3 linked regions of the Astyanax mexicanus genome follow. The protein of the gene in region 1 interacts with the protein of each later gene in a pairwise test. Links are inferred from orthologs where the notes say so. Each region holds a gene or a part of one and is shown on either strand. Other genes may lie near its edges. The genes, in order: erlin1, sec22a and fa2h.

Evidence for each region.
Region 2: the proteins of erlin1 (region 1) and sec22a interact in binary tests that used the Homo sapiens proteins (3 or more experiments, as listed by UniProt). The two-hybrid records come from large-scale screens. The link is inferred for Astyanax mexicanus from reciprocal best matches to the Homo sapiens genes ERLIN1 and SEC22A.
Region 3: the proteins of erlin1 (region 1) and fa2h interact in binary tests that used the Homo sapiens proteins (3 or more experiments, as listed by UniProt). The two-hybrid records come from large-scale screens. The link is inferred for Astyanax mexicanus from reciprocal best matches to the Homo sapiens genes ERLIN1 and FA2H.

What each region holds. Positions count from the first base shown.
Region 1 is NC_064414.1:38,373,712-38,382,018, forward strand, and holds the start of erlin1 (erlin-1), read left to right. Parts: upstream 1-4,746; 5' UTR 4,747-4,854; intron 4,855-7,510; 5' UTR 7,511-7,529; coding exon 7,530-7,642; intron 7,643-7,719; coding exon 7,720-7,801; intron 7,802-8,172; coding exon 8,173-8,219; intron 8,220-8,307. UniProt on the Homo sapiens protein: Component of the ERLIN1/ERLIN2 complex which mediates the endoplasmic reticulum-associated degradation (ERAD) of inositol 1,4,5-trisphosphate receptors (IP3Rs).
Region 2 is NC_064418.1:8,436,599-8,444,905, forward strand, and holds the start of sec22a (vesicle-trafficking protein SEC22a), read right to left. Parts: upstream 3,290-8,307; 5' UTR 3,160-3,289; intron 1,201-3,159; 5' UTR 1,187-1,200; coding exon 1,005-1,186; intron 1-1,004. UniProt on the Homo sapiens protein: May be involved in vesicle transport between the ER and the Golgi complex.
Region 3 is NC_064417.1:7,284,442-7,293,363, reverse strand, and holds the start of fa2h (fatty acid 2-hydroxylase), read right to left. Parts: upstream 3,355-8,922; 5' UTR 3,180-3,354; coding exon 2,898-3,179; intron 1-2,897. UniProt on the Homo sapiens protein: Catalyzes the hydroxylation of free fatty acids at the C-2 position to produce 2-hydroxy fatty acids, which are building blocks of sphingolipids and glycosphingolipids common in neural tissue and epidermis.

The sequences.
Region 1 (8,307 bases):
GATGAGATAAATATTTTAACTCCCACAACAGTTCAGATTTAACTCCTAAACAGAGTTAAGAGGCCAACTCTTAGAAAAGAGTTACTTTAACTCTGTTATAGAGTGTATTCGCTGGTCACACATATACACTTAAAACTAGTTGATTTTAACTCTCAGGGAGTTTATTCCAAAAAACAGAATTTGTGCACAAGCCATACTGGATAGCTGCATTTGCTTCTCCAGATCCGGCCATCTTTAACCTGTTTAATTATACACCAATTCAGCACAACATAATCTCCTTGTTTCTACACCTATTCATCAATTTTCATCTCAATCGATCATATAGGACACATAATAGTTCTATAATTGAAGACTATAGTGTGTCTTTTTATTGCATACTGTATTATCATCCTTTCAATGGTCAGGACACTTCTGGACTCCTACAGATATTATTATTTGGGTGGTGTGTCATTCTTAGCACTGCAGTGACACTGGCATGGTGACGGTGTGCTCAAACACAGCAGTGCTGGTGGAGTTTTTAAACACTGTCCACTCTGTTAGACACTACTACCTAACTGTTCTACTGTGCAGATGTAAGGTTAGAGACAGAAACTCACCTGTTGCTGCACAATTTGTTTTGGTCATGCTCTACTCATTCACTGGTGTTCACAGGATTATTCTCATTCCAGCTGTGACACTGAGGTGATTAAAAACTCCAGCAGCACTGCTGTATCTGATCCACTTGTACCAACACAACACACACTGCCATCACGTCAGTGTCACTGCAGTGCTGAGAATGACCCAAATAATACCTGCTCTTTGGTGGTCCTGAGGGTCCTGAGCAGTGAGGAACAGGGTAAAAGGTGAGTAATAAAGTATGCAGAGAAACAGAAGGTCTACAGTGTCACTATATTGAACTGCAAAGTGCTCTTATACGATCAGTGGAGCTGAAAAAAATGAAGGTGGTCATAAGGTTATGTTTAATTGGTACATAATAAAATAAACAGCAAAAAGGAAAAGTGTCTTTCACAGTTACTGATTATTAGTTTAATGATTCATAACTCAACAATCCTAGAGTTTAAATGCTGAATACAATGTATCCTCAGTGAGAGTAAGTGAACCATGATAAAACAATTCACACTAAATGACTGACACTCACATGCTCGAGGTTTCTTCTTCCTTGTGCCACAAACAGAACATGCCAAGTGACTGTGGCCAGTAAAAAAATGAACTGAGCTATCAGACAACATGCCAAGTTGGTGATCTGCACTCACATCATAACAACAGCACATACACTGCACATGTCGGATACAACAGATTTAATATCAGTGTGTAAAATTCAGCAGTGAAATGTTACTAAAGTGGGTAATAGTCTTTTTGTCAGATTGATGGGTGTGTTATATGGTTGGTAAACCACAGGCACTAACGGTTATCTGCTAAGAGAGGAAGGCAGTACAGAGTCCTGCATCCAGTGACAACAGCTGCAACTCTCCAGATTCTCAGACTGACTGGAAGCACACCTAAACACACACATACACACATGTTCAATGATTTTCCTTAAATAATATAATATAATAAAATCATAATGAGCTATATTTTTTAATAGAAATAAAAATTAATATAAAAAAGTTTTAAGGACTTGCAGTAATATAATTAGCAAGAAGTTCAGATACACTCCCTGAACAGTTGAATATTTGAATGGTTGGGGACCTTCTATACCTAATTACTCACAATAAATACTTTTAGGCAAAATGTGCCCCCCTCAAATAAAAATATTATTCACAATTATTTTTATGTAAATGCTTATTTTTTGCAAGAGCACAATACAAGTTATAAGAATAGAATACAAACAAGCAACACATATCTCATGTAATTAAAGTTTAATACTAACAAATTATATAAAACCATTGTATCATCGTAAAAAAAAATGTGCACAAATACATTAGTTCTGACATCTCAAATTAATATTGTGGCAATGTATTAAAGATGAAAAAAATAATGTTTATTTAACATCCGTTTCCTATCTTGGTTGTTATCATTCATAACTCAACTAAACAAGATGTAAGTATTACTTTACCACAAGTCCCCTCGCAGAACATCCAGGACTTTGACAGCTTTGTCTGCAACTCTGGTTTGTATCTGTAATATCTGTCCCTAAAAAAACAGTAAGCGTTATTACAGCTACTGAAAATCGGTACACATTTTTTGAGATATTATAAGAGATCTGACAAATCCCTACACTGAATATAATACATACCGATAACATTAAAACCATTCCCAGGTAAAATGAATACCTGTTGTCTATATAAAATTAAACTTGTTAAGGGATCGCTATATGAGCACCAACCATAACAGTAACTACACTAAGAAAACACACTTATTACCCAATTTCAACATAACTGAAAGGATTTCATCAACCAGTGGCTTGTAGGGGACACATACAAGTAAAGTTTTTTAGGTTTTATTAGCAGTAGAAAGCTTATCTGCTACTCACATCCAGCAGATGGCACTTGGGCACAGTCTTAGACCTTACTTGACTGTGAAGCTGATGAAGCAAAAACACACACAGTTCGGTTGTAAACAAGTCAGAATAACTGTAATCAATTTGACTGTTTGTGCTAAATCCACACTTTGACTTTTTGGCAGATTCAGAACTACTATAGTGTCAAAGATATGTCCCACACACAGTAGCTCATCCTGGGGAAGATGTAAAGCACAAATTCATACATTGTTTGCTCTTCTATAAGCTACAGCTCCTTTGAAAGAATGTACATGATGCTCTTAAGTAACTGTATCCCAGTGAAACATAACATAGCTTTAAAAATGTTTTCCCAAGAGATGGGGCCACGTTATGGGTCTATGAAAACAGTATGGGAATTCATTTTTATTACCAGAGTGACATCTGCTGGACACAGGCTATACCTACCTGGGACTACTCATATGAATTGATTTACTTTTCTCAGTGTTTCAGATTGGTACAGATCTTGTGCTGTACAGTCTGCAGCAGAGATGTGTTGTCCATTACAGTAGTTGTCTGTACCTCTTTAAAACCACGTGCCCTTCACCAGAGTGTAGACACTACAGGAGAACAGCAGTGCGCAGGGTGGGATTATGGACTATAAACGCTAATATGTGAACTACACTGGAGCAGCACTTAAAGTGAACGGAGCTAAACGGCTAAAAGCACAAAATAAAAATAGTAGCTAACCATAAGGCCAAGATATTTCTTGAATTTTATAAAGTAGAATAAAGTATTTTGTAAAAAGTATTTTTTTTTTTTTTTACATCTAAGAGATTTTAGGGGGGGTGAATAGAGCCAAACGGCTAAAAACAAAAAACAGTAACTTTTCACTTTAACACTTAAACAGGTATTCCTTGAGTTTTTGCTAAAAAAAAAAAAAAAGAAAAGAAAAAAACTTTATACAGCAAACGGATTTTATGGGTGAATTTAGCGAAACGTTTAAAACTTAAAATAAAAATAGTAAATATCCACTTAAACAGGATATTCCTTGAGTTTTCTAAGGACAATTTTTTATTTGTGGAAAAACGTAAGATCAAGGTCTTTATAGATAGTGGAATCCCAATTTTTTTTTCAATGATCATATAAAACAAAAACAAACATACATACGTACAGATTTAATTAACAAGAGAAATAGGAAGAAGAAGAAAAAACTCACCCACGTATCTGTTTTTTTTTTTGTAGAATAGTAAGAATTCTGTATTTTGCTAAAAAATATATATTTTTACAGTGAAAGGTTTTATGGAGGTTAAGGAAATGGGGATAAATTGAGCTAAACGTCTAAAAACTAAAACTAAAAAACATTACTCTTTTAAGTTAAAGGTGCTGCATTACTGTGCTACTGTGAGATGCCTGGTTGGTTTTGATGAGCTACTGAAGTTACAGCCAGAGCACGTTTATATCTTGAATTTAAACGCTTTATAAATATGCCTGTGGTGCTGACACATATATTGTTTTGTGTTGAGAAAATTTGAAGCATTTATAAACTCTGATTTAGCTGCGCGGCTGAAGTTGGCTTCTTGTTCGCCAGCGACTTATTCGGATTTTCGTTCCACCTTAAATGTTACTGCAGTTACATGCGGCCACCTGAAGATGAGGGGCTTTGATAGTAAAAAGCCACATTTAAGCACAACGCTGTGCAAACGCTCTAAATAAAATAAAAATAAAAAAACACATAAAAACGCTCAAAGTTTAACTTAGACTTGTATAGAATAAAATAAAATATAATAATAATAATATATAATAATAAAATATTATATTATTAAATATAGACTTAAGATAAAATACTTCAGACGGTTAAAATCCTGAAAAAGAACAAAAAAAAACACTGTGGATATTTTCCAAAATGACCCTGTGAACATAGCATGTAATATGTAGATGTGTATAGGCATGTAATATAAAAATAATCAAATGCCACTTTGGATCTTATTCACAGGGCATTATCTCCTCGTTCTCACACTGTTTAAAAAAAACTGACTGTCAAACTTAAGAAACAATATATCAGACTGTAAAAATCCTAAAGATGAACAAATATTACTTTTTGTTATAATGATGCTGTGATTATGTTCCAAACAAACACTGTCCACACTGTTATAGATTAGATGGTCTTGTTCATCTTAAATTCATTGTTTGCTTTGTTAAAAGCGCCACACAAAGAAATAAGACTTTATTTTATTTTATTTCATCTTACTTTTATTTTGGAGGCCGATTCCAGCCGAAGCTCAGCCCCGCCCCGCCCGGGCCGCTGACGCTGCTGCGCGCACGGTGGGAGCGGCTTGGGGGGCATGACTCCGGTCCTCCTCATCTAATGAAAGTGAAATGATAGACTCCAGCCTTCTCTGACTAACGAATGACAGGTAACGCGTTTATTCTGGGGCAGTTTATCTTTTCTGCGCTATCGGAAGCCGTGTGGTTTAAAAACTGTGCTGGTCCGCTGACTGTGCTGCTTCGGTTATTGGATAACGGCTAGCTAATAACGACAGGCTTGCCATTCATACTAACCCTGCATTAGCTGCTAACGCTAACAAGCTAATGCTGTCTGTATTGAACGTTAGCTTCAGCTGTAGTAGGAATGCTAGCTATATAACGTTAGCTCACCTATGTAAAGTTAGCTACTGACTAGGTAGCCTCTGTAAGCTGTTGTTTTACGGTTAACTAGTGTTAGATAGTTAGTTAAGGTTTTAGCGAGCAGTTAGCTTAGCATGTTCGTGGCTGTAGTTAGTGAGCTAGTTAGCTAATTAGCTTCCAGCGAGGCATTATTGACACTCCCATGTAATGGACAGCTCCGCTCCTGATAAGCTAGTTTAGCTAATGAACAACACGGTTTGAGTGCACAACGAGGAAGTAAGTTACACTATCCAGAAGCATTCAGAGTTTGCTCTTAATTTAACTAATCAGTGTTTCTTTAGTTCAGCTATTTTGACAGTTAAATGCACAGCTACTTAGACAGCTGTATGAAACCCGCATAGATAACTAGCTAGCTACCCAAAATAGCATTGCTGTCTCGTCGTTTCCTTATGGACTCTGCGAGGGGGGATGTTTGACATGCCATCTCAACCCAGACCAACCTGACAAACACAGTAAGTTAGTTATTTATGAGGGCAGAGCAGGCTGTGCTATTCTGTGATATATTCTTAATACATGTGTTTCATATTAGCTGATGATTTCATATTGTCCAGAATTGGTCCAGCAGGTTTTGCTTGTTGCACAAATTGACAATCTAGGGTACACAGGTTCCTGATTGTCAGTGAGTTAAGTTAAGCTAGCTAGCTTAGCTACGTTCAGGTCACATCAGCAAAGAAGTACAGTAACTTCTGTCTTTCATTTTTGCTTTCAACCTGAATGTATGTTATATAGTTAGCTGTTAGTCTTCTGAGAATTTCCCTTTTGCACAACATTTTCAGCTCTTACAAAAAAATAAGAGACCATTTCAGTTTCTGTATCAGTTTCTCTGATTTTGCTGTTTATAGCTATATGTTTGAGTATAAAGAAGATTGTTGTTTTATTCTATAAACTATGAACAACATTTATCTCTAATAAAAATATTGTAATTTAGAGCATTTATTTGCAGAAAATGAGAAATGGCTAAAATAACAAAAAAAATATATTCCAGATTATATATTGATTATATTCCAGAGGTTTTTAAGTAAAATAAAAAAACTCGTTTTTTCTCCAGAGCTGTATATGCTGTGCATTAGGTATAGGCAATATGGCCTTAAATAATATCATGGTATTTCAGGGTGTTTCCACAAAAATATGACAAAATATAAGACAAAACATAGATTTAAAAATATATATCATTTCAAGAATATATTACAGCAACACAATTAATATAACAACAGAAATCTACCTCAAATCTCGAGTGCAGCATATTTAGTGCATAATTTTATTGCATAAGACACCCCTAGACATCCATCTCTAGTAATGTGATGATGCTTATTAAGCAAATGTAAATAGCGAAATGTAAGCATGTGAATGCAGTACAGTGCAGTTGTCTTATGTGTATTAGCTACATTGCTTAGACACATAATTACATACTATTAAATATGCAGCATGTGTTTTTGGTGTTCTGAAAAATAAGTATTAATACTTTAATGTTATGCATTCCATCATATTTTCCATCATATCGTGTTGTGTTGTGTGTACGTAATTTTAATCATACTGAGAGATTTTTTTAATTAGGCCTTCAACTACTGACTATTTTTGTAGTTGATAAATTTATTTTTGTCGATTAGTCAACAATTGTTTATGCCATATCCTCCATCACTTTAAAATTAAAGAAACGGCTTAAATGCCTAGAAGCTGTTTAAAAGTGGAAGATACAGCTATTTTGTAAGTAATTACATTATCTTTTGTGTTTGGGCACTTTTGGAGACATAGAATGAGTTGAGCTTTTCTGTTCCGAGAACTTTGTGTAGTGCAATGCTGTTACAAATAATGATTAGTCGACATTTTTATAATTTCATAAGTTTATGATTATCAATGTCTATAATATCCACTTATCATTGCAGTCCTGTTAGATATGATGTTTTGCTTTGTGGGGGACACAGAAAGTAGACTGTTTATATTATGGCAAAAAAGTAATATAGAATAAATGAAAGAAGTGATGCACTGTGATTGTAAAATAAATTCCTGACATTTGTACTGTAATATTTTCGTATGTGCTTCTCTCTTGCTTTATGTCCTTTCTCTCCCTGTCTACACCAGTCTTAATCTGACATGGCCCCAATGTCCTCATTCTCTTTTTCCCTTGCAATGAAACTATTATCTCACTCTCTCTAAGAGTCCGTCAGGCCACAAATGACATGAAAATATAGAGGCACAGAGGCAAATCAGCAAGCTGCTTCTTACAGTAGGGAGAATGTGATCTGAGGGTGAACAGGAAATGTCTAAAATTCTTCATGCGTGGAGAAATATTTGCATATCCTAAAAAAAGTATCTTTAGGTGTACACACTTACAATGCAAAATGAGTTCAGGAATACATTTGTTAACTATGCATAACATTCCACCAGGTGAGTTTCTGGGCGAAGGATGACGATGGCGCATGTTGGGGCAGTGGTTGCGGCGATTGCTGGTGTGATGGCCATTATGCTTCACTCTTCCATACATAAGATTGAAGAGGGTCATTTAGCTGTTTATTACAGGTAAGTATTTTAAAAATAAAACATTTAAAAACAACTATATCTTAAAGAACTAAAACTAAATGTATTGTCTTTTATAGAGGTGGGGCTTTGCTAACCACTCCAAATGGCCCAGGCTATCACATCATGCTGCCTTTCATCACTACCTACAGATCTGTCCAGGTAAGAGCAGTTATTTGGAATTATGTTCTTGTATTCCCATTTGAAAAGTGCATCAGACATTTAAGTGTAATTTAAGATAAAAAAAATGCTCATACAAATTTGACTCTGGATATTGCTGCTTTCCAGTGAAAAAAAACGTATCTCAATTATTTTATCTTCAAAACACAGGAGCAGTCCTTCCTCCCCCTGTAGAGTTACTATTAAGGAAATGCATTTTTTTTCGTTGCACAGTGATCATATACAAAACTGTTTATTTAAAATGTATTAATTTTAGTAATTCCATTACTTTTACGTTTAACTGTCACACGGATTCGAAAAATGTCATTTGTTTTGTATATTATTATTTTCTAATCATGTTCTCTGTGATCTAGACAACAATGCAGACAGATGAAATCAAAAATGTGCCTTGTGGAACAAGGTAATGTAACCATTTATACAGATATAGGAATAGATAGAATAATATGTTATTCATATGCATATGCTTACTTAAATGACCTTTTACATTT
Region 2 (8,307 bases), on another chromosome or scaffold:
ATCGTCATGGTTATTTAGTTTTTTTTCTTTTTGTATATACTGTGTTTACTTTTTTTGTTTATTCTGTTAATGCCATTTTTCTTTTAATACTTATAAACCTAAAAATAACAAACCGGACTATGCGCAATAATATTAAACCAAGTGCAATAATAATGTGCAATACTTCTTTTGCTGGATCTACTGTTTTTTTGTATATTCTCCATTTTTGTTTATTTCCTTTCCTCTGGTCCTTCTGTGTATTATTTGTGTACTGTAATGATGCTGCTGGAGTTTAAATGTTCCTGGGATAATCTTTATATATACATCTATTAATCTATCCATCCACCCACCCAGTTATCCATCAATCAATCTCTCTATCATCCATCCATCCATCCATTCATCAATCAATCAATCAATCTCTTTCTCTATTATCCATCCATCCATCCATCTCAATATTCATCCATCCATATATCTATCCATCCATCATCTACCATCTATCCATCCATCTATCTAGATTATATTGATTTATATGTTGTAAATGGCAGTGTTGGCATTACTGGAAGATATTGCCAATGGCCAAATTTATTGAGAGTGTGTTTACTCTGATTATTGGGATTTCTTTGGCCCAAGATGCCTCTTATGGCATCTTATCTTCACCATTTTTCTAGTAAGAGTATTCCAAGGCCTGTTTATACTAATTAGCATATTATAATCTGCATAACTGAGGGCGGAGACAAGGAGGAGTGTTGTGTTCCTGCAGGTGCGCTCAATATGTCGTTGATTGTGATGTACTAAGAGAGAGTGCGTGGCATTCTGCTTACATATGGTTTGATACATCTGGAGTTTTATAAGCGTACGGTACTTGTACGCTATATTTTTGTAGAAATTTTACCCAAGTCTTAGTACATGAGGCCCCAGAATCTCAGAGTCAGCGGAACACTGTTGAATACAGTTTTTTTCTACACCCTTAAACGAGAACACACAACAGTGCATTGGGATGCATACAGATAGTAATGAATCCTTACTTGACATTGTACTGTCCAGTCTTGAGAGAGCAGCGGTCAGGGAACTGGCTGAGTTTTTTGGACAGACCCTTGAGGTGCTTCTTGGTCTCCTGCAGTCCTTTGTCCTGCTCATAGTCAGTGGAGGCAGAGAGAGGCAGGCCGTCCCTCACCCGCACCACTGAGGCAAACAGGACCATAGACATCTTACAGCAGGATCCTGCAGGAGTGTAGGAGAGCATTCCATTATTTCTGAGCATTTGAATGTAGTTGTCACCATAGAGTTAATTGGTAATCCAGAATCCAGAAATAAACTATTTGTTTGGGCAGTTTACTTGTTGGTAACAAAGCTGTTTAACCAGCTCTCGACTGCTATAGTGTATGCATTTGATTTTTTGATCATGCTTGGACATGCTGGTTATCCAGCTTGGCCATGTGGATCATGCTTGCAGACCATATTAAACATCAATGAGAACATCATATGAGAACATACACTTTGGCTGGTAAACTAAATGTAACCCTCTGTGGCATTAGTTTTTTTGGGAGGATAAAAGCTTGGGATTCCCTGTGAATATGTCAAATATATATTTTTGACTTTTGATAACAAACTGATCAACAGAATCAGATGTTTTACAGCAAGTGTTCTAGCTCTATAATGCTGCCCAAAAGAAAAAACAACTTAGTAAACACATTAAAAAAGGTATGAAATTGTGTTCGTTGCCTAAGGGCAAAACTCTGCCATAGAAGGTTAATCAGTTTGAGCTGGTCATGTTGTTTTCCTCAGCAGGAAACATAGACAACTAACTAGCATTAATTTACTGGATAAGCATGAGAAATGTATAGTATTTGTAGTATTGAATATTAATATATTTAATCTACTGCCAAGCAGTTTATCTAGCTAGCTAGTTCCTTAGTTAGTTAATTCACTGAATAAGCCTGATAAATTTACAACATTTGAAGTGATGATTATTAATATAATTTTTAATCTACCATCTAGTAGAGAGGGTGGGTTGTGTGTGTGTATTTTTGTTGTGTTTCTCTGTTATGATGATGTATGTTTCATATTATCTTTCACAATAAACAAATTAAGCATAATCTTCCATCCCACCATTTATCTGATAAATTTGCAGCATTTGAAATGTTGAATATTAATATATTTAATCTACTGCCTAGCAGCTTATACAGCTTGTTAGTTAGTTAATTGAACTAACTCACTGGGTAAGCCTGATAGATTTTTAGCATTTGTAGTGTTGAATATTAATATATTTTGCAAATCTACTGCCTAGCACCTTATCTAACTAGTTAGTTAGATAGCTGGCCTAATTCACTGGATAAGCCTAATACATTTACAGTATTTGAAGTTTTTAGTAATTTAATCTACTACCTGGGAATTTATCTAGCTAGTTAGTTAGTTAGTTAGTTAGTTACTTGGTTAATTGGTTAGTTAGTTAGTTAATTCACTGGATAAGCGTGATTAATTTACAGCATTTTACAGCAGTTTATCTAACTAGCTGATTAGTTAGTTAGTTAGTTAGATAGTGTGTAAGTAAATAAGTAAGTTGGTTAATCTAATTCAGTGGATAAGCCTGACAGATTTAAAGCATTTGCAGTGATAAATATTAGCATATTTTGCTAATCTACTGCATATCAGCTTATCTTACTAGTTAGTTAGCTAGTCTAATTCACTGGATAAAGCCTGTTAAACTTACAGCAATTGTAGTGTTGAATATTAATATATTCAATCTACTGTCTGGGAGTTTATCTAGCTAGATAGTTAGCTATCATTACTTGCTGTAAACTACACAGTCATCAAGCTGAACATCTCGAAATTAACTAACCTAGCACACCAAGCTGTTACAAACCAGAGCTAATTAACCTAATTAGCCTAATTAGCTAGCTATCTCTCCAGCATCTGGCAGCTGTTGCCCACATGAGATAAACAAACACAGGCTCTTTCAGATACACCTCTGTCTAACCTAAATCATGTAGTATAATGTGTGTGTCTACGGTCACTGTGTATAAACAGAGACTGTTGTTAGCTGGTTAGCTGCTTAGCTATAACTGTCTGCTGGGTGACAGCAGCTCAAACCTGAGCCCAGACTCTCACAAACAGGCCGAACCAGGACCAGAACCCGCCCCCGGCAGCAGCAGGCCCGCGTCCCGCACTGACGGTACTCACTTCGGCACCGGTAACGGCTGGAGTCCCGACTTTAGCATCATTCTGTCCGCTTGTTTGTGTCTGTCAGCTCCGCCGCGGGAGGACGCAGCCATACACCAGCGCTGACGTGTCTGAGCCAAGAGCATTATGGGTAAGAGGAGCAGCAGTAGCAGCATTAAGAGCGGCTCTGTCCCAAACAACACAACGCTCCCTACCTAGACAATATTCTGAGGCATATTCACAGTAGGCCTATATAGCATTTAAAATAACCCTTTTATATAAAAAAGTAAATAAAACATTACAATGATACAATAAAATGTAGTGGATTATATAATTATTTCATAAATATGTGATGGTTCAATTTAGGAAACTGTAAACATTTAGCATTGTTCTGACTAGCACCATAACCTGACACACACATGACGGATATTTTTTTAAAGACCAGCATATCTAGCTATATCTTAATAAAGGACAGTAAATTTAACATTACAGTGATGCAATGTAAATATTTAACACATAATAATAATTAATGAACATTTATGAATTTTTTTTTTTAAATATGAATAGAGTTTAAAAACTAACAGCTATCAGCTACAAAACTTTACACAAAAAGTCTAGATTTTCAAAAGACCAATATCATTAACTTTAAACAAAAATGCAATATATGCAATTTTATGTTTGTTCTACCTCAGTTCTTTTTTTGTGTTCAGTGAGAGAAATCTAATCTGTTTTGGGCTTGGACAAGTGCATTAAAGTGTGATATGATAAGCCTTTGATTTTCATGTTTTATAGAACTCCAAATACTTGTCTTATTTTTTTGTATTATAACTGGAACTGTAAATAATGAATACATCATCAGTGTTACATTGTTACAGTGTTAATACATTATCAGTGTTCTTCCAGACTTTTGTCATATCATTTGATTACAGTTGCAGTTATTTCCACCTCTGCAGCGCCCTCATAAGTTCAACTATGTTATAGGCGAAGATGACGTTTTTGTGTGCTTTGGTAAATGCACACTCACAATATGCAAATCAATCTATCAATAACCCCACCCCCCTGGAGATGTCCAACAATCTGCGTCTCACCCATAGACTGTATATAAGTATTGACAGAACGACAGTTATTGAAAATTATACCAAAATTAGAGAGGCGTTTTATGAGCGACATTATTAGGCGATAACGCACTGTAACCGAAGCTCTTCATGTATTACTCCGCCACATACAGGTAACCTAGCAACGATTACCAGCCAAATACAATCCAAATGCGATGTCATTAAACACCACTGGGGGGCGCTGGATTCCATAGGCACAGTGAAGGAACGCCATGTCTCCAATAGGGGGCGCAGGCAAAGACGCGGTGCCACACAAATAAATAAATCCAAATTTATTCAAAAATAGACATTATTACACACATTATTAGCCACTAATATCAGGCTAAGAGTTGTTGTTATTATTATATTAAAAGTGTATATATTTTCCAGTTAATATAGGGTATTTTAATCTGAATGTAAGGTGGACTCTTGTAATACTGCAGGTCTTACCGCTGGGGGGCGCCGAAGTAAACAAAACTTTAATTCTTAAAAAACATTTTCTTTCAGTCAAACGAGCGCTGGACCTCTAATCCACACAGATTTCCCTCCTAAAAAAATTTATTTGGGTGAGGGTAAAGCTCTTACGTTTAATTACAGTAACGTTACGCTTAGATTTCCACAATTGTGACTAAAATGGACGATAATGCAGAGCTTACAGCGCAGCTAAAGTAGTAATGGAACTATTTTAACTCGCGGAGTGTTTATAAACAAACCGATCGCATTTTCTCATCCGGTTTAATTCAAAATCTTTCAATAAACAGTGATAATGGAAATGTGGTATAATCGCAATAATACACTCAAGGTTCGTGCTATAACGTGTCATATTGGCACTGCTGTGCTGATCTTCGGCACTCGGCCTTTGTTATAGCACTCCCTCTGGTGTATTATTGCTTAAGTGAAGCCACTACATCTCTTACGCCCTCTGGTGGCTGGCTCCAGTACAACTTTTAACCCCGCCTATTTCCATTCAATTGAAGTTTTATAGGAGTAATTCCGTGATATTTAAAGGGTTGTAGCATGTGGTGATTGATTGACAGCTGAGGGCAAGTTGATTGATAGGTCGCCTGAGAGTGTGAACGCGCACCGCCACTGTGGCTCTTTCTGACATTTGGATTTTACTTTAAAAATGAGATATCTGAAGTAAAGCAATGGCTTATTCTGCAGTTAACTTATGTAACAGACCCTCAGGCAAACGTTCTCTGCAGTTTTTTCCGTATGTGGATAATTTCCCTCCATCAATTAATTTGTATTCATACTTTGTTCTTTGTTCTTGTGTATTTTTTTTATTTAGGTTAGGTTTTTAACCTAGCATTAACTACTTAACGCTAGCTAACTAGTTAACTAGAGTAGCCAACTCAGGTTAGCAGTTAAATAACAAGTTTTTTGGTGAAAATGCCAGTTTTGGTGAACGGTGAAGGCACTGGCCAGTGCCACGCCAGTTCTGGCTCCAATTTGCCTCTACTGCGTGAGCGCACACAAGATGGCATGTTCCATTTCGGCCATATTTTGGCTTCAAAATGCCATAATGAGAGTGAATGGGGACGCCCTGTCCATATTTATATACAGGCTATGGTCTCACTGCTATTAGAGGCACACTGCTCAGCCCAATCATCTCTCCCTTCTGCCCCGCCCTGTCCCTAAACCCATACATCACCCAATGCCCCTCCCAAACTACTCCTCTGATTTGTAGGCATTTTTCAAATTTGAGCTGAGGGTGGAGTCAGCTAGAACAGGTGGTTTAGTTACTCTTTGAAATATTTGTAACATTTGTAAAACATCAGAGCCCTCATTATTGGACTGTGGAGTGGCTGATGGCCCCCCACAATAGAAGCTGACCTGTCTCGTGCTCTCTCGGCTGGGTGCAATTAAATACTCACAGCAATGTTCAAAGCATCTAGTGCAAAGTCTCTATTGGAGTAGAGGCTTTTACTGCAAAAAAAACATGAGGCATTTGTTTGATAAATACCACTTATTTCAGAAGAAACACTGGATGAGAAAATGTCCACAAAAATTTGGACATGCTGTGGACCACTTTGGAAGGAAAAGATGTTTTTTTCTCTCTTCTGTTGGCCTGGATCCTCAAGCAAGAGTTTGATTATTATCTTACTTACTGGTGACATCTGGTACTTGAGTTTTCTACAGCAGGCTGTTTCCTAAAGAAGCAGATGATATCATTATAGCAAATTAAATTACTGAAGTATTTACTCATGTGGTAGACGCTGTAACGACTTGTTTGCATTGCTTTTTGTGTGTGTTTTAGCTTGATTTATTATGCTTGACAGGCTTTTGAAATAGATTTTATCATCCTTAGGCTGCATTATAGTGAGAGAAGGAGAGAATGAGAGATAATCATTGATTATGTAACCATTGATATGCTCTTTTCTGAAATATTTTTACTTAATCAGTTTGCAATATGTTTTAATGAGAATAAAATAGTTCAATACAAACTGTGAGTTAACATAAGGACTTACAGTTAATACAATGTAAAAGTAAATGTAAATGTAAATCCTGAGTTTGAAACATCTGCTCTGTATTCTAGGGCTGATCAGTAGAACTGAATGTCCTTCTCTTGGACAAGTCCATTTAAGAGCATAAAGTTAAATGCATTTAGAATTTCTACCCACAGTACAGAGACTGACCGATAAATGTAGGACAGCATACAAATGTACTTTTCAGAAGAAGTGTGTCAGATGGTAAAACAGTGATATATTTGCTTATAGAGACAGTGAAGGGATCCAGGGGTCATAGCAGGCACATCATATTCATAGAGCTGTGATCAGCAGGTTCAAATCCTGGTCATGCAGCTTGCCATCAGCTGCCGGAGCCCTGAGAGAGCACAATTGGCCTTGTTCTATCCCCTCATCTCTCCTAGGGTGATGTTGATCAGCACAAGGCGTCTGTGAGCTGATGTATCAGAACTAAGTCGCTGCGCTTTCCTCCAAGCACGCTGTTATGCTACTCAGCAATGCTGCATTAGCAGCAGATGGAAAAGAGGCAGTGGCTGATTTTACATGTATCGGAATATTTTTTGGAATTTGGGAGAAATATTGTCTGTAGTTTATAAAATAAAACAACAATTTTCATTTTACTTAAACATAAACCTATAAATAGCAAAATCAGAGAAACTGATTCAGATCATATGCATTGTGCAGCCGTGTTTTAAGAGAGAAACTCTTAGTTTCCTCTTAATGTCATAGAAAGTCTGGTGGTTCGTTGTGAATCTGTATAATCTGACCCACAGTGTCAACAAAGAAAAACTGTAAGACAGTTTAAATGAAGCAGATGGATATAAAATCAATAAGCAGACTATAATAAACACACTATGTGTGTTTTCCCCATAGAACCAGTTTCTCTATTCATAATTTCAATTTTCTGTTGATTTTTAATCTCACAAAACCCTAGATGAATTTGAAGAAGACCAGACAAAGCCAACGCAGACATGCTCACACCACATAACCCCCTAGAGAAGAATAGAGCAGGACAAGCAGGCAAGTCGTACCTCTTTCATCACAAAACTCAATTAAATACAGAAAACTGTGATTTCCCAATTGTAGCCGTTACATCTCTGTGGAACGGAGAAGAAAAGGAGTTTATATGGATCTTTTGTCAAGTGGTGTACATCATTTTGACTGTTGCTTTCAGAGTAAGAGTAGAAAATCTTTATCTCTCCAGAACAGATAATCGGGGTGTATTTATGTCTTTGACTTCTCTGATTCGGAGTAATTTGTCCCACTGACTCTTATTGAATTTTCCTCTGAGCAATTAAAGTCTGAAGCCACAGACAGAACGCCCATAGTGAGCAGAGTCCACCCGTAGTCCAAACAAATGTGACAAAACATAGAGGACAATTTATGTCAACAAACAAGTTGCATTAGAAAAGTTAGGGTTGTCACATCATTCAATCCTGACCAATCACAAGTGCATAGTAAAAAAAAAGTGCATGTATTGTGTTTGAGACAACACAGTTTCTTTCCAACCTTTTTTAATGCATTTTCTTTCCAATTTCTAAACAACTGCAGAGTCCAAGCTAATCGATTTAAACAGCTGTGCATATGTATATGTTATTAAGAGTTTC
Region 3 (8,922 bases), on another chromosome or scaffold:
AAAATAACAGGGCTTCAATACAGATTCAAGCCCATTGTGGCATATTGCAATAGTGTAAGCAGGGCGATATCCTGCAATTGTTTAAATACAATTTATGAGAAAAACTAACATCATAATCTAAAAAATTACTCTATAATTTTTATAACCTAAATAAAAAATTACCTTTTTATCAATATAAGAAAAGTAGGATCTAACATCAGAGCACAACACTAAAAGAAGCACTATGTTTTAAATTTGATGCAGTATTCCATAGCAAAATATTGCATAACAATACAATATTACAATATTTTAACACCACTAACTGGAATATACACTTTTAAAGATAAGAAGGTTCCTTGTTTTGTTAAGATACAAGCTTTCTGGTTGAAAACAAGCATACAATAAATACAATAAATAGGCAATTATCAGGAGGAAGCAGCTGATTTTCCGTTCTTTTTAGAGAAGCACTGAGTAATTACTGTTAATGGTAGCCCTGTGTATGCAACAGATGTGTCAGCTAAGGGTTAGGCTTGAATGTTGGGCCGTTGGGCAGATTCGTTTTAAATTGCATTATTTAATTATTAAATTAGATTAAATTTGGAAGATTGCAATGCAATGCAAATCACATTGCAACAGCTGCCATGATTAGTCTCAAGCTTTTGAACTGGTAGCTTTAAAACAAAAAAGTGTCTGAAAAAATAAACAGACCTGGAGCCTAATCTGTGGACAATATTCATGTTTGTTTGGCCATTGGCACATGTGTTTTGGGGAAGGGGGGTAGTACACTATAGGACCATGTGGTGCAGCCTAAGCTTTAGTCCTTAATGGCATTTTTCCACTTACATTACTTTTACTTTTATACTTTAACCCTAGTGTAGTTTTGAAACCAGATCTTTTACACTTTTACTTGATTAAAAAGCTTGAGTTGATGCTTCAACTTCTACAGAAGTAGTTTAAACCCTAAAATTCATACTTATACCTGAGCAATGAATGTGAATACTTTATATTTAAATAACCAGGATATTAGATTATCTCAAGCATACTTTTGCCCAAACTAACTAGACCACATTATCTCAAAATAACATCAGAAATCATGCCACACCAGCTCTCTGTTGAGATGCAATCAGGAAGGCCAGATAACATAACCACAGCAGTGACGGATGGACGTGCAGAAAAAGCCTGCAGGGCACAATGGAACGCTTTCCAAGAGCTACTATTTTGTGGATTATGTATAAATGTCCCAGGAGGGACAGACAAGCCAGACCGGTCTTACACTCTCGCTCCACAAACACACAAACACACACACACACACACACACACAAACACACACACACACACACACATAGGGCTACTAAGTACGCAATTAGCACCTTTCCTTCCATTCAGGTAGGCTACAATTACTGGTAGTCAAGCATTTTTTTATGTAAAGAGCTGCACTATAAATAATCAAATACACGTAATTAGCGTAGAAATACAGAAAGCACTGATCTGATACCAACTTTGAGTCTATCGTGAAACAGTATACAAACAGTGATGTGTAATATTTGTGCATCTTGATATGATTTGTGTATCTTTATATAAGTGTGGCTACAGCTTAAGGCATGGGAACAAGATCAAAATGCATGGCCACAATTTATTGTGGTCGGAACTTAATTATCTAATTCCAATATATATATATATATATATATATATATATATATATATATATATATATATATATATATATATATATATATTTATATATATATATATTACATGGTTGTTATTTAAAAAAAATGTACTATTATATGACACTGTGAAAGATTAGTTCATGCAGTCCACTCATAATAAAGAAACGATGTGATCTGAGCAAAGGGAGGGCCAATATGACAGCGAACAAACAATCAGCCATAACATTAGCACCACTGACTGGTGAATTGAAAGACATTGATTATCAGATGGATATATTAGAATGCATATATTAGGCAGCAAGTAAACAGTCCGTTCTTAAAGATAATGTAGTAAAGCAGGATAAAATAGCAAGCGTAATCTGAGACACCGAGGCACTCTGACTGAAACAAAACAAAACTGTGATGGTTAGACAACTGGGCTGGTTCAGAACATGTCCAAAACATCAGGCAGGTCTTGCGGGGTGTTCCGTGTTTGCAGCAGGCAGTACCCACCATTAGTCCCGCAAAAAAGGACAACCGATTGACAAGCGACTGGAACATGGCTGCCCGAGGCTTACTGATTTTTATGATAAGGCCACACCTCTGATCACTAATCAGTGTATAGTATCAGTGTATTATAAATTTAAAAATGCAATTGAATTGTCCAAACTTAACTTAATTTAAACTTAATTTAGTTGTCCCCACAGGTTTCCATGCTTTAATAAGTTTTGGCACTCCATTATTTATTTATTTATTTATTTTTTACATTATGTCACCTCAGGTGCTCTGTAGAAATGTACCAGAGATGCCTAAAAACCCTTATTTGTTTATTTGTTGTAATTTATTTGTCGGTTAACAGCCTTGGAAAACAAATATATTGGAAAAAGACATATATTTAGCAGCTCAACATGACAACCCAAACTGTCTCCAGTGTCTCCAGTGGACCTGCCTACCTGAACCTCCTCCACCTACCCACCCACCTACCTTCCTACCTCACCTGTCTCCCAGGTGAGCGCCCTCTGCTCCATCTGTCTCTACCTCTACCATAAGTAGCCTATGCTAATAAGACGAAACACGTAAATATAAGCAAGGTGTATGGTGCATGGGTGTTGTTTATTGTAGCTTATTTAAGTTCTTAAGTTAAACATCTAAGTTATCTGTTCAGTCTCTGATTCTGTAACTTTGATGGTAAATGATGAGAAATAGAGAAAAGCTTCGTTTAAAGTCGTATAAAACATTAAAACAGTCCAACAGCAGTAAGGAACATACCTCTGTGTAGTACTCCGTACTGTCCCTGTCTAGTTCCCCGATGTAGTACTGCTCCATCCACCGCCTGGCGTTCTCGGAGTGGCGGTGTGGAGGTCCCTCCAGCTCCGGGCTGATGTCCTTGCCGCTGCGGCGCAGGATCAGCGCCTCTCCGCCCGGGTGCATGCGGAGGAATCCGGTCACATCGTACACCCGCGTCCCCTTCAGCACCCAGCAGGACTCCTTACTGCAGTGCCTCGCCACTTCTTTCTCGGTGAAGAAGCGAGGGGACACCGAAGGCGACATCTGGTCGTTTTTGGAGTTATCAAGCTGTATCAGATATTAAGGTGTCCACTTTAAAACAGCAGCAGCAACAGGAGGAGGAGGACAGTATGGGTTTTCAGACCCCCACAGCACAGTCCGGCTACACAGCCCCGAGAAACACAACCAACTAAAGTTGCTTCTGACTTTTGCCCTGACTCTCTCTCTCTTCCTCCCTCCCTCGATTAGCAACCGCAGGCTCCTCATTAGCATGTGATGAATAATGCATGAGCTTCCACAGCTGGGCTTGGTCAGGCACCTGTTGCGCACTGGCGCGCGTGGAGCGAAAACACAGAAGAGAACGTTTGTCTTCAGTTTTTATTCATATTTATCTACTTTAATCTCGTGTTTACCCAGCTGCCATTTCAACGTTTAATCAAATGTTGATGTTATGGTTGTATAACACCAAATCAACGTTGAATTTGGTGTTAATTTTGAAAAGTAATTCAACGTTGATATGGAAATGTTGTTTCAACGTTGTAAGTTCAAACTTTAATAAACCAGAGCTCGCTAAAACTAGAAAATTCTATTAGCAATAAACTTACATCACTGTAGTAAAGCTGAGTATAAAGAACGTTAACCACCTCTAGCAATGTGACTAAACATCTGATCTCAAAAAAACAACAGTTAAACAAATAGAATATGAACATACCTCCAGGTATGGTGAAGAATTGGTGCATTACTTCAACCAGATTTAAGCCACATTTTAACGTTGAGAAAACTCCTTCAAATGTAGTCAAAGGTGATTTAACCCTTTCAGACCTGAAATATGGACACTGGACTGTATGGACTGTACTGGACTGTATGGACTGTAATATTTAATATAAATTCTACATGAAAATGAAATCCAAATAACTAAAATATTTAATTGCGTTTTAATGTCCATTGCATTGTTTGGCATTTTTATTTAAAATTTGATATTTATTTCCTTTATTTCACAAACCACCCCTAAACCGTAAAATAAACATTTTAAAAAGTGTTCTAAATCACATAAAAAAAATAGCTCAGTCTTTGTCCTAATGTCTGAGATGCTGTTTATTCCAGTGCTGTGGGCGGGGCTAAGCTACTGTTTTATTGACTGATAAACTTTGTCTTTTTCATAATGGTCTATTCCGTTGGAAACCAGGCCTTAATTACTGTTATATGCATAAAAAACATATAAAAAAGAAAATACACGATGTATATTGTAATGGACACAGGGTCTGCAAGGGTTAAATGTCCCAACTTAGCTTCTTTATTATATCTGCATTGTACTATGCATTTTCAATTGTATCCCAAATTTAAATATAACATTATAGTCATTATGGATTTTAGAAAAAGTGCACTGTTTAGGGTAGTGCACTATGAAACCCTGTGGCTCGGCCTAAGCTTGTGTCCTTAATTGCATTTTTCCCATTACATTACTTTTACTTTTAAATTTTAAGCAGTTTTAAAACCAGTACTTTTACACTTTTACTTAAAGAGTAAAAAGCTTGAGTTGATACATCAACTTCTACAGAAGTGTTTTAAACCCTACTATCTATACTTCTACCTACAGAGTAATACATTTTTGTATGTGTATGTGTATAAAAAAAACTTCGTATGTGTATTTTAAATTACCAGGATATAAGAGTATCTCAAGCTAACATTTACCCAAACCAACTAGTCCACACTTACTTTCTGACACAGCTGGACTTGTTCAGGCAGCTGTTGCGCACTGGCGCGAATGGAGCAAAAACACAGCAGGGAATCTTTGTCTTGAGTTTTTTATTCATATGTTTCTATTTTTTTCTAGTGTTTAGTGAGGAAACGTCTATAAATGTAGTCAGTGGTGATTTAAAGGAGATATTCTCCCTCGTAGACTTCATAGGCATAGATATGGGGGCGTGTCTGTATGCTAATTAACCCCCCTCTGTAAACGCAGAGCGCACTACCTGCACAGGTGTTTACATAAGCGGGCGAGTCCAGCAGTGCAGAGATAAGCTGATGTAAAAAAAAAAAAAAAAAAAAAAAGATAAGCTAAGTTTGTACAGTGACGCAACCAATAATTAACACTTTTCACAAATTTTGTATTATCAGTTAATCGCCAAATAATAGCCTTTTTCATTTTCACCTTATTTTCCATAGTCGCCTGATACTGTCTACAAGTTTTGGACAAGGCAAGCACGCCCTCTCTGGCTAAACAGCGTTTAATACAGTACCAGTCAAAAGTTTGGACACGCCTTAAATTCAGTGTTTTTATTATTAATTGGAAATTTTGTGCATTATAGATTGTACAGTACAAAAGTCATTCAAACTACGGTGATGTTTTAGATTCATGAGTTTGAGAGCATCAGTTGTGAAGTTGTGAAGAGGTAGAGTTGGTATACAGTGAATAGCTCTATAATGTTCTTATTCATATTATGTCAAGAACTACTCAACTAAGTAAAGAAAAAAATAATATTTCAATCCAAAGTGTAGTCACAAAGACCATCAAAAACGTTATGATGAAACTGGCACTCATCAGGACCACCCCAGAAAAGGAAGACCAAAAAGTTACCTCTGTTGCACAGGAAAAGTTAATCAGAGTTACCAGCCTCAGAAACTACAATTTAACAAGACCCCAGATAAGAGCACCTAAATGTTTCACAGAGTATTTTGGTTTAACAACTCTAAAAACAAGAGTGTTTTTAGAGTTGGGACAAAATTTTGCATATCCAGATAAACATTTAATTATTCAAACATTTTTTTTATTAAATCAGATTTTAATAATAATACAATTTCCATTCATTTTGCACAAATACAAATTCTTGATGTATAGTAGACACATACTACACATTATTGACTCCTTACATTATTAACTGCTTTTACCTCTTGATTTACAACCTGTATCTAAGTCATGTTTTTGTGCTTACTCTATTAACACTTTATTAAAAATTATTTATATACAAATTATATTTAGATTTTATGTCTGTCCCAATGTCATGGTCAACCCTCTTATCTCTGCTATAAAAATCCATTACATTTGAAGGAAATGCTAATAAAAACATGTGACATGCACTCAGTGATGCCATTTCCTCTGATGGGAAACATGTGGAAGGCAGTGAGATATGTCAAAATGCGTTATTACTGGCAGAGTAAATAATTCACCAGGGTCCATAAAAAGTCCAGCCTTCATCAAGGTAGTGATTTTATTTTTTAATTTTAATAGGTGCATGGTACAAAATATGAGGGTCCCCTTGTCAAAGAAAAGTGCATTAAGTAATGTTTTAAAAGGATAATTAACACAGAAGAGTACATACATATTTAAATACATACTAAATGTACTATTTTGTAACAACTTATATCCACTTAAATATATTTCAGTTGTAATTAAGCTATATATGTGTTAAATACAACATAAAAGCATTAGGATGTGCTTTGAATGCTTTTAATATATAACTTCTGTAAACGTAAGTAGCCTTAAGTAAGTGTTTTTTAAACATCATTTTTTAATACACTTTAAGTATAATATAAAATATACATAAATATGTTTAATTTAGGTAATGCTTACAACATTTAATAGAGTATATTAAACTGAAAATGTAAGTTTAGTATTCTTTACCTAATTTAAACATACTTTTAATGCTCTTTTCACAAGAGTCATTTTCTCCTCCTAGCCCCATTCCAGTGTTTTTTCTCCTAAATCTTCAGAATCAGGATTTACATATTAATATTTCACTGCAGGACAATAATAATTACCAATATTGATCTCTGTTGTTATAAATTATTAATTTTCTTGCTGATAGTAAATCAGTATTTAACATCAAAACCTGTATATTAAGATGTAAACATGTCTGCTGTATCATGCCTGTTAATAACACCTCCCACATCCGACAGGTTTGAACAGGACAGGCTAAATGTTGGAGGTTAATTCTCAGTAAACATCCCCCACAACAAAAACAGTGCAAACCTTCTCCAGAAGTTAAAATAGTGCACTTCAAAGAAAAGCTTGCTGAACATGTTTGGTCTGTGTTACGCCTCTTCCCCCACTTTTTCATCAGTACCAGTCTCCTCAGAGCAGAGCCGGTTTCACCACATTCACATGTGAACTGAAGTTTCAGTGTACAGTGCTTCAGTTTCACCTCCAGGCCGCAGTGTTGTCGCATTTTCCCTACAACCAGCTTCCTATCTGTACAACTGCCTTTCTATCTGTCAGTATCCATCCAATCATTCCTTTATTTAGAGTAATACGATCTCAAACCCGAATATTTCAACAACAAGATATTCAGACAACTGATTTTGAGTTTATTTGGGTTTATTTTGCTGTTATATAGAGTTTTACAAATAAATACACTGACTGACTTCTGACTTTATGTCTATTTGGGTTTATTATAATGTTGTACCCACTTACTGACTGCTGACTTTATGTTTATTTGGGTTTATTCTAATGTTATATAGAGTTTTACAGGTAAATACACTAACTGACTTCTGACTCTATGTATATTTGTGTTTATTATAATGTTATACACACATGCTGACTGCTGACTTTATGTTTTTTTGGGTTTTCTAATGTTATATATTAGTATATATAGTAATATATATAGTAATATATATATATATATATATATATATATATATATATATATATATATATATATATATATATATATATATATATAGTTTTACAGGTAAATACTGAAGGTGTGGTTATCTCCAATTAAACCCTTCACTTCATTGGAGATAACCACACCTTCATTTACCTGTAAAACTCAAAACACTCACTGATTGCTGACTTTATGTTTATTTGGGTTTCTTCTAATGTTCTATGGAGTTTTACATGTAAATACACTCACTGACTGCTGAACTTATGTTTATTTGGGTTTATTCTAATTTTATATAGAGTTTTACAGGTAAATACACTCACTGACTGTTGACTTTATGTTCTTTTGGATTAAATTTTAATGCTATATAGAGTTTTACAGGTAAACACACTTATTGACTGCTGAAAAGGAACAACACTGCCCTGTTGATGCCAGCAAAATTGTGACTGCATTTTCTGTCCAGTAGCAGAATTGTCACGGTACACTGCAAGTTTAATTAATTACATTTAACTCAAGATGTTTTTGGCTTAAAAGCTGGTACATTCTGTAATTTGACATCCTTGACAACATTAAGGGTTTACTTTTTAACTTCTATCAGTCTAAAGTCTAGTATTAACTCTGTGTGCCTGTAAGTGTAAAATGAGCTTGTGCATGTTTCTTTATGAGATCCTCTTTTTCTAAATGCACACACTTACTTTCTGATGTGCATAAAATTGGACACCTCATGAAAATCTTTTTGAACATATTTATTCATTTAAATATTTGCAAAGATGTCACTCATCACTCTGAAGGTAGAAGTGTAGATACTAGGGTTTAAAATATTTCTGTAAAGTTGAAGTATCAACACAATCTTTTACTCCTTAAGTAAAAGTGTAAAAGTAATTGTTTAAAGTATACTTAAAGTATAAAAGTAAAAGTAATGTAAGAGTAAAAAATACTGTTAAGGACAAAAGCTTAGGCCACACCACTATAGTCCTATAGTGCACTATAGTTTGGACATTTCTCTCGAGTTCTCTTGAGTCTCTGCACGGATCATCTTCATACTAGACTAGATACGTCTGCTACGTTCTTGCTGGAGTGTGGGCGTGACAGGTGCAGATCAGATGGATCACATACTCACATAATCTAATAGAGTGTTGGTGTTCAGAAGGTAGATTACCTTTTATTTATGCTAAAATGTATGCTCT